Mus musculus: one gene and its partners. The protein of the gene in region 1 purifies or fractionates together with the protein of each later gene. This does not show direct contact. Links are inferred from orthologs where the notes say so. Each region holds a gene or a part of one and is shown in the gene's direction. Other genes may lie near its edges.

Region 1 (4,453 bases):
AATCTTGGTTTCCAAACCTCAAAATGTCAAATACCCTCTATACTACATGTTCACTGTTTACACCTCCACTGCCCAACACTGACCCTGCACATTCTCAGCTAACCAGCTGAGTTTAGAATTTCTAAACCCCCATTTAATGCCGTTGATGAATTTTTTCCACCACCCCCCCCCCCTGTCTTTCTAAATACATAAATTTAAGCCTTTCTTTGAAATTCAGCTAAAAGTTACTATTAGGGTGTTTCCTTACCACCCTAATAGTAGTAATTGTCTCATTAATTCCAATTCATATATCATAGTGTGATTCAGATTAGTTCCCTTCATGTTTCATGTCCAGCTCCTAAGAGGGAGCGCACTAACTTTTATTGAAAACCAGCTAATTTTCCTCAAAAGTCACTTTTATCCTTTCAGACAAAGGTACAAGATTTAACTGTTAATTAAAAGTGGGGTACAATGTCCACATTGCCTCACTCAGTACTTGAGTACTACACTAAGCACAAAGGACTAACAAGTCTGAGGCAAGATTTCCTCCATACAGATACCTTCCTTAAGGAGTTTCCAGGTGACTGAAAGTAACTCCAACAAGAACCTGCTGGCCTTTAGAAGAGACACACAGTTTTCTATGAAGCCTTCTTTCCTTCTAAACTCCAATATTTCTGGAGGAACTCTTGTTCATTATTTCCTAGATGCTAAGGCCAGGGAAGCTCATCTTGGTATAAGTGTGTCGCACTGTTTGACACAGTAAAACTAGTGGTCTAGGACCCTTGAGTTAAAAGATCTAACCAAACAAGTCAGAGTCACAGACTCACAGGACTGTAGCTTTAAAGGCTTGGCAAATAAATAAATAAATACATACATACATACATACATACTTCGGTAATCCTATGTGATACGGACCAAAACAGAAGGAATTTATAGTTACACCAAAAAGACTCTGAGAAAAAAAAAAAAAAAAGACAAAGGAAAACCATTACTCTGGGGAGGCGGGGTGGGGGTCAGTAACTGGAAGACAAGGATCCTGGAACTAAACACCCATTAAATCAACTCCCTGTTAACTGGCTTAGGGTCTACGAACTGCTGTCTCCAGGAAGAAGGCCATCTACACGAAAATTAGACATAAACACTGTCCAGTCCCTCCAGGGAACCCTAAGCATAAGATCCTGTCAAGTTTTGACTGGAGTCACTTCGCTGCTTCGGTGGCCCAAAGGTGGGTCAGAGCGCCGACTCCAACTTCGGGAGTCGGGCCTCTTACCTTGCAAACCGGACCTGGAATACGATCTCTATTTTCCTCCTCCGCCTCTTTGGCCACATCGGCCTGCTTAGCTGGCTGCCCGGCATCTTTCGAGCTCCTTTTTGGCTTCTTCGCTTGAACCTCCAAGCCTCCACGCCGCTTTCTCTTGGTCGCCGCCATCTCGCCTCGCCGCGTCGGTCGCTGCCTGCACTTCCGGTTCTGCCGCTCGCTCTGCCTTCCGATCTCTATGGTAGCCCACGTTAGGCTGTGAGTTAAGTCATCCGGCTCCAAGGCGCTCGCTTCCGGTCTCGAGGTAGACTCTCTAGGCACACGGCGGCTCGGTGGTGACGGTGGCCTAGGTGGTTGCGTATCTGAACGGTGGCGGGAGCTGTTTGCCTGGCTTGCTAGCTTTTTGGACGCTCAGGGTGTTCTTGGGGCTGGGGTGGCAGGGGCTTTGAGGGGTCGGACGTCACCCACAGCCTGGCGCCAGGGGCTCCCTTAGTGGCCGCTGTGCGGCGAGCGGGCCGAAGTCGCGTTCTCCTGCAAGCCAGGTTGGTGGCGCTCAGAGGTGCTAAGCAAGCCCGGTTACCCGCGCCTTTTAGAGCTACCCTGTGAACTGCATTCAGTGTAGAATACCGTAGTTTTGAGACATGAAAATAGAATGATCTCGATTTCGGCTCGGGTTGAGGTCGCCAGTCCTGTCCGCACTGATAGCGAGGTTTGTTGTTCCGTGTCTCAGGTTTTCACACATCTTCCGGAAGAGGAGCATCCTTCTTCTCGGAGCCGACGGTACCGTGGACCATCCATGCCTCTCCTAACCCAGTACAATGAAGAGGAGTACGAACAGTACTGCTTAGTGGCCAGCCTTGACAACGTTAGGAATCTCTCCACTGTCTTGAAAGCCATTCATTTCAGAGAACACGCCACGTGTTTTGCTACCAAAAACGGAATCAAGGTTACAGTGGAGAATGCAAAGTGTGTGCAAGCAAATGCCTTTATTCAGGTATGGGGGAGTGAAGACATTTTTAAAGCATTCCCTAATGAATGAATTTGGAAGGACTTAATTCAACAAAACTCAAGTTAGTGAACAAAATGTCGTTACTTTTTTTTCTTTCCTGCCAACAAATACTTTCCCCATCTTGTCTCACACAGATAACGATTACTAGTGATAGTTTATTAATGACTCTTCTCACCATTTTCCTCTTTTAATCTTTACACATATAGACACTTTCTCGTTTGACATAGTGGCACCAGATTTAATTTTCAGTAGTCTTACAACTGATTGAATTAGGGCGAGAACCCTATTTACTCTTTACAGTATTATTGTCATGCACGTTTTAGTTTTTCCTCTTATTGGCTGTAATTTTTCCTCGGAGCATTTTCCCCCGGAGATAGAGTCTAACATGTAACCCTGGTTACCTGGAACTTGGTTTATAGACCAGACTGGCTTCAAGTTCTTGGAGATCCGCCTGCTTCTGCCTTGCCTCTGCCTCCCAAGTGCTGGGATTAAAGGCATGTACCACCACTGCCTGACACTGAATTATCCTATCCTTAAGTGACTTTAGCTTTAAGGGATAGGCACAAGACAGAGTTAGGGCAAGTTCACATAGGTGTTAAATTTAGATACAGAAATGAAGATGAAGAGCCCTTACTAGGGGGTGGTAACTTTGTGGTGTTTGGCTTTTTAATATTTTTAGAAAGGTTTATTTTATGTATGTGAGTACATTGTCTTCAGACAGACCAGAAGAGGGCATCAGAACCCATTACACATAGTGGTGAGCCATGTGGTTGCTGGGAATTGACCTCTACCTCTGGAAGAGCAGTCAGTGCTCTTAACCTCTGAGCCAACCTCCAGCTCCTGGCTTCTTAATTTCGTGTGTATGAGTGTTTTGCCTGCATGAATGTCTCCAAAAGGCGTGTACCTGGTTCCTGCCAAGTTCCTGTGAAGGGGGTGTTGGATCCCCTGAAAATGGTTACAAAAGGATTTTAGTCACCGTGTGGGTGCTGGAAATTAAACCTGTGTCTTCTAGAAGATTAGCAAGTATTCTTAACTGATGAGCCATCACTTAGTGTTCCACGTTTAATGATTAAACCATTCAGTAGTATTCAAGTGGGGAAAGGTTGAAAACTTAGTATGTCTTAGTTGGGAATGAGAAATACTCTCATGGAGTTGGCAGAGTATTGTTACTTTCTAAGCATAAAGTGAAATATAGACGTGTGAATTTTCATTCTTTAATATAATCCACTTTCATGTTTTCATGTTTGCTTTCTCATAGGCTGACGTGTTTCAGGAATTTGTCATTCAGGAAGAATCTGTTACTTTTCGAATTAACTTAACTATCCTTTTAGACTGTTTATCTATTTTTGGATCAAGTCCTACACCAGGTGAACTATTTTACTACTACAACTACTGCTACTACTATTGTTGTGGCATAAAAGTATTTATTATGGTTAAAAAAATAGAAAATACATACAGGAAGGTTTCTAGAATATAAGCTTTTTAATTTTTTTTAATCTTTTTTTTTGGAACAGAGTCTTATGTATCCCAGACTGGCCTTGAGCTCCCTGTGTAGCTGAGGATAACCTGGAATTTATCTTCCTGCCCTTGCCTCAAGTGATGAGATTATAGAGATAGGCAACCATTTATAGTTTTATGTGGTGTTGGGGATTGAAACTGGCACTTCATACGTGTTAGCCAAGCACTCGACTACAGCTGAGCTACGGCCCCAAGCCCAACAGTATTTTGTTAGAAAACTAACTTCTCAGGGAAGGACTAGTGAGGCCCCACCCCTAGTAGAGATGCTTTTGGCAGCTGATGGCAGCTAGGGGAGGGAAAAGTCATTTCTTTGGAACAAGTTGAGGAGTCCTAGGGAGGGAAGTATTAGGCCCTAATAATTAGGGGGTGCATTTGTATATATGAATTAAATTTTTAAAGAATAAAGGGAAACTGATTTCCAATTCATTTTCCTCCTAGTTGTTATAATCATAGGACATAAATATTTAAACTACAAGTTGAATGTTTGTTTTAGTTCTTTACATATTTGTGAAGGTATTTATTCATTTTAGGTCATCCTAATAGGCAAGGTATGTTATTACCTTACCTTCCTTTTTGCTGTGAAAAGAATGACTGACAAAGCAGTTTTAGGGTTTATTAATTAGGCTCACAGTTGGAGTGTGTAGTCCATGTGGCAAGGATGAACCTGGAAGCGAAGCAACAGCACAAGG
Region 2 (3,120 bases), on another chromosome or scaffold:
AAACCAAAATAATAATAAAAAAAAGATTGGAATGAGAGTCAGGACTCATTTTGGGGCAGGAGTAAGATGAAGAAAGCAGTCAGATCTTGGTCTCTAAGACACCTTAGTCAGAGATCTGTGCCATCATCATCACTGCCTAGTTGAAAAAAGTGGAGCTGAGCAAACACTCTGCTGTACTAGATGAGTATAGAAGTTTGAGCTTCATCCTTTGTATTTCACATGGATCAGGACTCTAGGAGCACAAAAAAAAAAAAAGACAAATACATTTCACATACAAAGATTCAGTATTTTCTTAAGGGTAAAGAACATCATCAATAATATGAAAGCCAAATACTAACCTGGGCCATATTTACAGGGACAGAGGGCTAATGTTCTTGTCAGAGATTTTATTCTTTTGTTACCCATTTATTTATTTAAGATAAAAATCTCACCATGTAGCTTAGACTGGCCTAGAATGTAACCCTAACTTTCCTTAAACTTGTGATCCTTCCTCCTTGCCTCTGGGCCCCTGTGTTGGAATTATTGGAATGTGTCACCAGCCTGGTCTTATCAGAGATCTTAAAAATCAAGCAACAAACTCCACAAAAGGTCATGAATGTAAAATTCACATACATACATTGTAAGTTGAAGCCATGCTCTTCTACCTATCACATCACTACATACAACATAGATTGTTATATGATGCTGCTGATGAGAAGGTATGTTGATAGAAATTTCTTTGGGAAAGTTTGGTAACAGAAGAGTTTTAATATGTACATGCAATAACCAAGATTTCCCTTTAAACTTAACTCAAGTAAATACTGACAAAAGTAAATGTATTTTGTGTAATTCATTGTTATCCTAGGAATAGGTCAAAATTGGATCATGTAAATTCCTCTTATAGAATAATTATTTTTATCAATATACTGGAAAACTAGCCATGAAAATGATATAGACTTGCTAGCATGTGATAGTATGGAGTGATATCCATTATATGTGCATTTTAGGCACAAATGCCAGGTTATAAAATGTGTATCCAATTTATCACATTATTTATAAGACATGTAGTAACGTCTGCAAGTAATGTCTGGACTGAACAGGACTATAATATATATTTAGTATATGTATGCACCAAAATGTTTTAAAAGGGTTGGTTGTCTCAATGGTGCTGGTGATTTTAATTGTAGTCACACTATGTAGAGTGACCTTCTTATGAGCAGACCAGAAGCAGTGAAATATTCAAATAGGGCAGGTAGGTAGGAAGGTGAAGAGACAGTCCAAAGTGTGTCCCTGTAGCATCTGCCCTCGGTGGCCTCAGGTGTAAGTGGGCCTGCAGGTAGGTGGAACCCAAATGCAGGCAGTGCTGGGGCAGGAGGGAGGGGCAGTAGAGCGCACCCCAGTCTTGGTAGGTGAACTGGCTGTGTCCCAGGCCGGAAGGGTAAGCAGGCTACACTCCAGGCCGGAAGAGTGAACCAGCTGACTTCTCTGGCAGCGGGCTCCTCACAGCTCTCTCTACCACCGAGGTTTTGAGGCACCATGAGGTTTCGGGCCAGGATCACCAGCAAGCGTTTTATAGAGCTCTTCATTCAGGTCAGCAGCACCGTAGCAAAGCTGGCGAAGGTCTGTGTGCTCCGTGTGTGCCCTGACAGGCTGTACTTCTGTCCCATGGGGCTGCTGGGTGAGGCCCAGCTGTGGGGTGAGATGCGGCGCGATGTCTTCCACCACTTCTGCATGGAGGGTGCCTCGCAGGAGTTCAACGAGATCTGTCTTGAGCTGATGTCTGAGCATCTGGCCAGAGCCGTGAAGAATGCCGGCAATGCTTCATCCCTGAAGCTCCAGCTCACCAACAAGCAGCGCCCCTGCCTTACTTTGGTGGTGGAGCTGGCATCGTGCCCCGGCCACACCCGTGCTGTGGTCCACGATTTGCCTGTGAGGGTGCTTCCCAGAAGGCGATGGAAAGACTGCACAGAGCCCCATGTTCGGGGCTCTGATGTGAGTGTTTATCTGCCAGCTCTGAAGACCTTGAAGAACATGGTGGAAAGGATGGCAAACGTGGGCAGTCATGTGCTGGTGGAAGCAAACCTCAATGGCAGAATGAACTTGACTGTAGAAACTGATAGAGTGACTATTAAAAGCTATTTTAAAAATCTTGGAAATCCTCCAAATGCCGTTCTGTGTATGTCTCAAGGCAGAGACCCAGAAACCATGGTGCAAGTGCGGGTGGATAATAGGAAGCTTCTACAGTGTTTTGATGGACATCAGATAAACCCCACAATGGCCTTATGTAATATTTTGAGCAATACTCTGCTTCATCTTGTTTTGGTTCATGAAGATATTTCTCTTCAGTATTTTATTCCTGCTTCATGAATTTCAAGCAGCCTTGATTTTCTTTTTAAAAGAATTCTTAATTGAAGCACTTTCCAGAACTGAGACTTTGAGTTACTTGTGTTAAAAGCCTGCAACCCCATGGATTTGGTAGAGTGTTTATTTTGTTGAGTGCTTCCTTTGTAAACTGTTAAGAAACAGTTGGAGAAATAATTAAAAGTTCATGTGATTGTTTTTTTGGTTTTGACAGTTACATTATATTCAACTTAGTTGTTTTGGAAAAAAAGGATTATAATAAAATAATATAACTGAATCCTGAAACAATTATTGTATTATTTTATTATGAAATAAATTGTGAAGAGTGAGAAAATTCTCCTTTTAAAATAAACTAAGTATTTTGAGAGACTTAATGCGCTCAGTCTCTCTGAAAGGTCTGAGATGGATTTTGTATGTCCACCACAGATTCCGAGAGGCAAACAAGGGTCTTCTGAAGGTCCTCGGTAGGAGTCTTTACGTTACTGGTGAGTAGCCATTTCAGGGTTTAAACTCTCTGACAACTCTCTTCCTCACCTCGGAGTCAGACACTTGTTTGTTTGGTGACTATTTAAAGAAAGGTGAGAACTATTTGTAAACGCTATTTTGGGAAAGCTTCGGGATATTCAGGTTGTGTGTGTATATGTCTGTGCTGTAACACAGACATGCTTTCTGATTTCTATTGGTAAGCTCAAACACAATGACCCAGGCAACTTATAGAAAGGAGGGGTTTTTGCCTTATGGTTTTTAGAACAATAAGAATCCATTATGACAGGGAATCTT
Region 3 (2,915 bases), on another chromosome or scaffold:
GAGTGAGTTTCAGGACAGCCAGGGCTACACAAAGAAACCCTGTCTCGGAAAACCAAAAAAAAAAACAAAAACAAAAGAACATCCCAGATCTCATTCCTTGAAGCGCCCAGAACAGCTTCTGATTGTCAGGAGGCCTGCTTGAGAATGGTGGATCTTGTTCACCTTTGCCTCTTCTGCTCTGCTGGCTTGGAGTCCTGCTGTGTCTCATGTTAAGTTTGATGAACCATGAGACTGGTGAATGTTGCCACTTAAAACTTTTGTTCCTTTTGTATCCTCCAAGTTCCTCCTCTTACTCTTCTTTCTTTGTTTTAGCCATTGCTCCTGTGCTACCATGGGAATTCACGGCCTTGCCAAACTAATTGCTGATGTGGCCCCCAGTGCCATCCGTGAGAATGACATCAAGAGCTACTTTGGTCGCAAAGTGGCCATCGATGCCTCCATGAGCATCTACCAGTTCCTGATTGCTGTTCGTCAGGGTGGGGATGTGCTGCAGAACGAGGAGGGTGAGACCACCAGCCACCTGATGGGCATGTTCTACCGTACCATCCGCATGATGGAGAATGGCATCAAGCCTGTGTACGTCTTTGATGGCAAACCACCACAGCTGAAGTCAGGCGAGCTGGCCAAGCGCAGTGAGAGGCGCGCCGAGGCTGAGAAGCAACTGCAGCAGGCTCAGGAGGCTGGGATGGAGGAGGAGGTGGAGAAGTTCACCAAGAGGCTCGTGAAGGTCACCAAGCAACACAATGATGAGTGCAAACACCTGCTGAGCCTCATGGGCATCCCTTACCTTGATGCACCCAGCGAGGCAGAGGCCAGCTGTGCTGCCCTGGCAAAGGCTGGCAAAGTCTATGCTGCGGCCACGGAGGACATGGACTGCCTCACTTTTGGCAGCCCCGTGCTAATGCGACACTTAACTGCCAGTGAGGCCAAGAAGCTGCCCATCCAAGAGTTCCATCTGAGCCGCGTCCTGCAGGAGCTGGGTCTGAACCAGGAGCAGTTTGTGGATCTGTGCATCCTGCTGGGTAGCGACTACTGCGAGAGCATCCGTGGCATTGGGCCCAAGCGGGCTGTGGATCTCATCCAGAAACATAAGAGCATCGAGGAGATCGTGAGGCGGCTGGACCCCAGCAAGTACCCCGTTCCAGAGAACTGGCTCCACAAGGAAGCCCAGCAGCTCTTCCTGGAGCCAGAAGTACTGGACCCAGAGTCTGTGGAGCTGAAGTGGAGCGAGCCAAATGAAGAAGAGTTGGTCAAATTTATGTGTGGTGAAAAGCAGTTTTCTGAAGAGCGAATTCGCAGTGGGGTCAAGCGGCTGAGTAAGAGCCGCCAGGGCAGCACCCAGGGACGCCTCGATGATTTCTTCAAGGTGACAGGCTCACTCTCCTCAGCTAAGCGCAAGGAGCCAGAACCCAAGGGGCCTGCTAAGAAGAAAGCAAAGACTGGGGGAGCGGGGAAGTTCCGAAGGGGAAAATAAACCTGTCCTTCCCCTCCACTGTCCTTGACCCCAGGCTGTCTATCTGTTTTGTACCCTCGGCTGCAGCACATCCCTCTTGTCCCTCGTCTTGAGGAGAGTTCATTGCTTCCCAGCGCTGCCCTTCAGAGCTTTCCCTCTCTTGACCCTGTGGCAGGAAGGCCGTAGCTCTGCTTTTTCTCATTTTTAGCTCAGGAAAGATGTCAGGCTCAAACCACTTCTCAGGTTAATGGACACTGTAGTCATTGTTCTGTGCAACTGCGAGCAATGTCTTAAGGAAGAAGAAGATAAAGCCGGGAGCGAGGCTGGAGATAGTTTCCCAGCTGGCCAGCTGGTGGAGGAGAGGTGACTAGAACCTGACTGACTACTGCTCCTTCTAATTTCACTGTGCCCTGAAAGATGCCCATCAGCCTGGGATTCGCTGATGGAAGAACTGCAAAGAGACGAGCAGAGAGAAGTCTGGCTGACAACAGATTTAGTACTGACCAGCTGATTTTTGTGGGCAGAAATTTGAACTTGCTGCCTGCTGAGTCCAGTAGTTGTGCAGGGAGTGAGATGGCAGTGTTTAAGTTTTGATTTGTAGTTTTTTGTTTTTGTCTCTCCCCTCTCCAGTGTTGGGGATTGACCCCAGGGCAAAGGCATTAAGTGTGCCACTGACCTGTGCCTCCAAGTGATGTTCTGACAGCCTTTCTGAGGCAATCAATTGAATTGAGGTTTTGGGAGAAGAAACTGTTGTTCATAGGCTATTTCTATTTTAAAAGATGTGAAGAGAAAAAAAAAACAATAAAATTATAAAAGTGACCAGAATGTGTCTGAATGTTTGAAAACACCCTGAGTGCCTTAGTTTCCTGTAGAATAAATATAATGGTTTCCTTTCCCCCTCTAAAATCCCCTACAGCCTGGCTGGGATTGCCCTGGTAACAAGTGGTTAGTTTAGGACTGACCACAAGGTGGCGCTGTGCCCATGTAAGGTGGCCACAGCAGCTGTGGTGGCACCAGCCTTTTGTACTTAGGAGTTTGCATAGCTTGACTGGATTTCACACGTTCCACCATCTGTGAGATAAAGGAGTCCCCTGGAACAGTCTTGTAGTTTAGATAAACTATCTTATAACATCCAGCCAGGGCTACACAAATCCTGTCTCCACAAACCTATAAAACAAGTAGGTAAATAAAAGAAGCCTTGTTCTTACTGAGATTTCAGGTGTCCGGGAAGAATGAAAGTTTTTGAGTACTAATACATTTAGGTTTTCCCAGAGAACAACAGAGAATGAGCTATGTATATGTTAAAAGGAAATTCACTAAAGTGGCTTACAGGGTGTGGTCCCGATAGCCTAACAATTGGTATCCAACAAGAAAGTCAAGAATTCAGTAGTTTAGTCCACAAGGGATGTCTCAACTGATCTTCAATCTACATGAAGAAGTAGGTTCTAATACCAGAGAAGGG

The links.
Region 2: the proteins of Rad1 (region 1) and Hus1b purify together in Homo sapiens (co-immunoprecipitation; 3 studies listed by BioGRID and IntAct, counting the BioPlex papers as one, with this or other methods). This does not show direct contact. The link is inferred for Mus musculus from reciprocal best matches to the Homo sapiens genes RAD1 and HUS1B.
Region 3: the proteins of Rad1 (region 1) and Fen1 purify together in Homo sapiens (affinity purification with western blotting; 3 studies listed by BioGRID). This does not show direct contact. The link is inferred for Mus musculus from reciprocal best matches to the Homo sapiens genes RAD1 and FEN1.

The regions. Positions count from the first base shown.
Region 1 is NC_000081.6:10,484,486-10,488,938, forward strand, and holds the start of Rad1 (cell cycle checkpoint protein RAD1), read left to right. Parts: upstream 1-1,532; 5' UTR 1,533-1,779; intron 1,780-1,967; 5' UTR 1,968-2,033; coding exon 2,034-2,231; intron 2,232-3,504; coding exon 3,505-3,613; intron 3,614-4,453. Other genes in the region: Brix1 (ribosome biogenesis protein BRX1 homolog), read right to left, coding at 1,250-1,408. UniProt on the Homo sapiens protein: Component of the 9-1-1 cell-cycle checkpoint response complex that plays a major role in DNA repair. The 9-1-1 complex is recruited to DNA lesion upon damage by the RAD17-replication factor C (RFC) clamp loader complex.
Region 2 is NC_000079.6:30,946,070-30,949,189, reverse strand, and holds Hus1b (checkpoint protein HUS1B), read left to right. Parts: upstream 1-1,428; 5' UTR 1,429-1,515; coding exon 1,516-2,346; 3' UTR 2,347-2,614; downstream 2,615-3,120.
Region 3 is NC_000085.6:10,198,495-10,201,409, reverse strand, and holds the end of Fen1 (flap endonuclease 1), read left to right. Parts: intron 1-312; 5' UTR 313-331; coding exon 332-1,474; 3' UTR 1,475-2,278; downstream 2,279-2,915. UniProt on the Homo sapiens protein: Structure-specific nuclease with 5'-flap endonuclease and 5'-3' exonuclease activities involved in DNA replication and repair.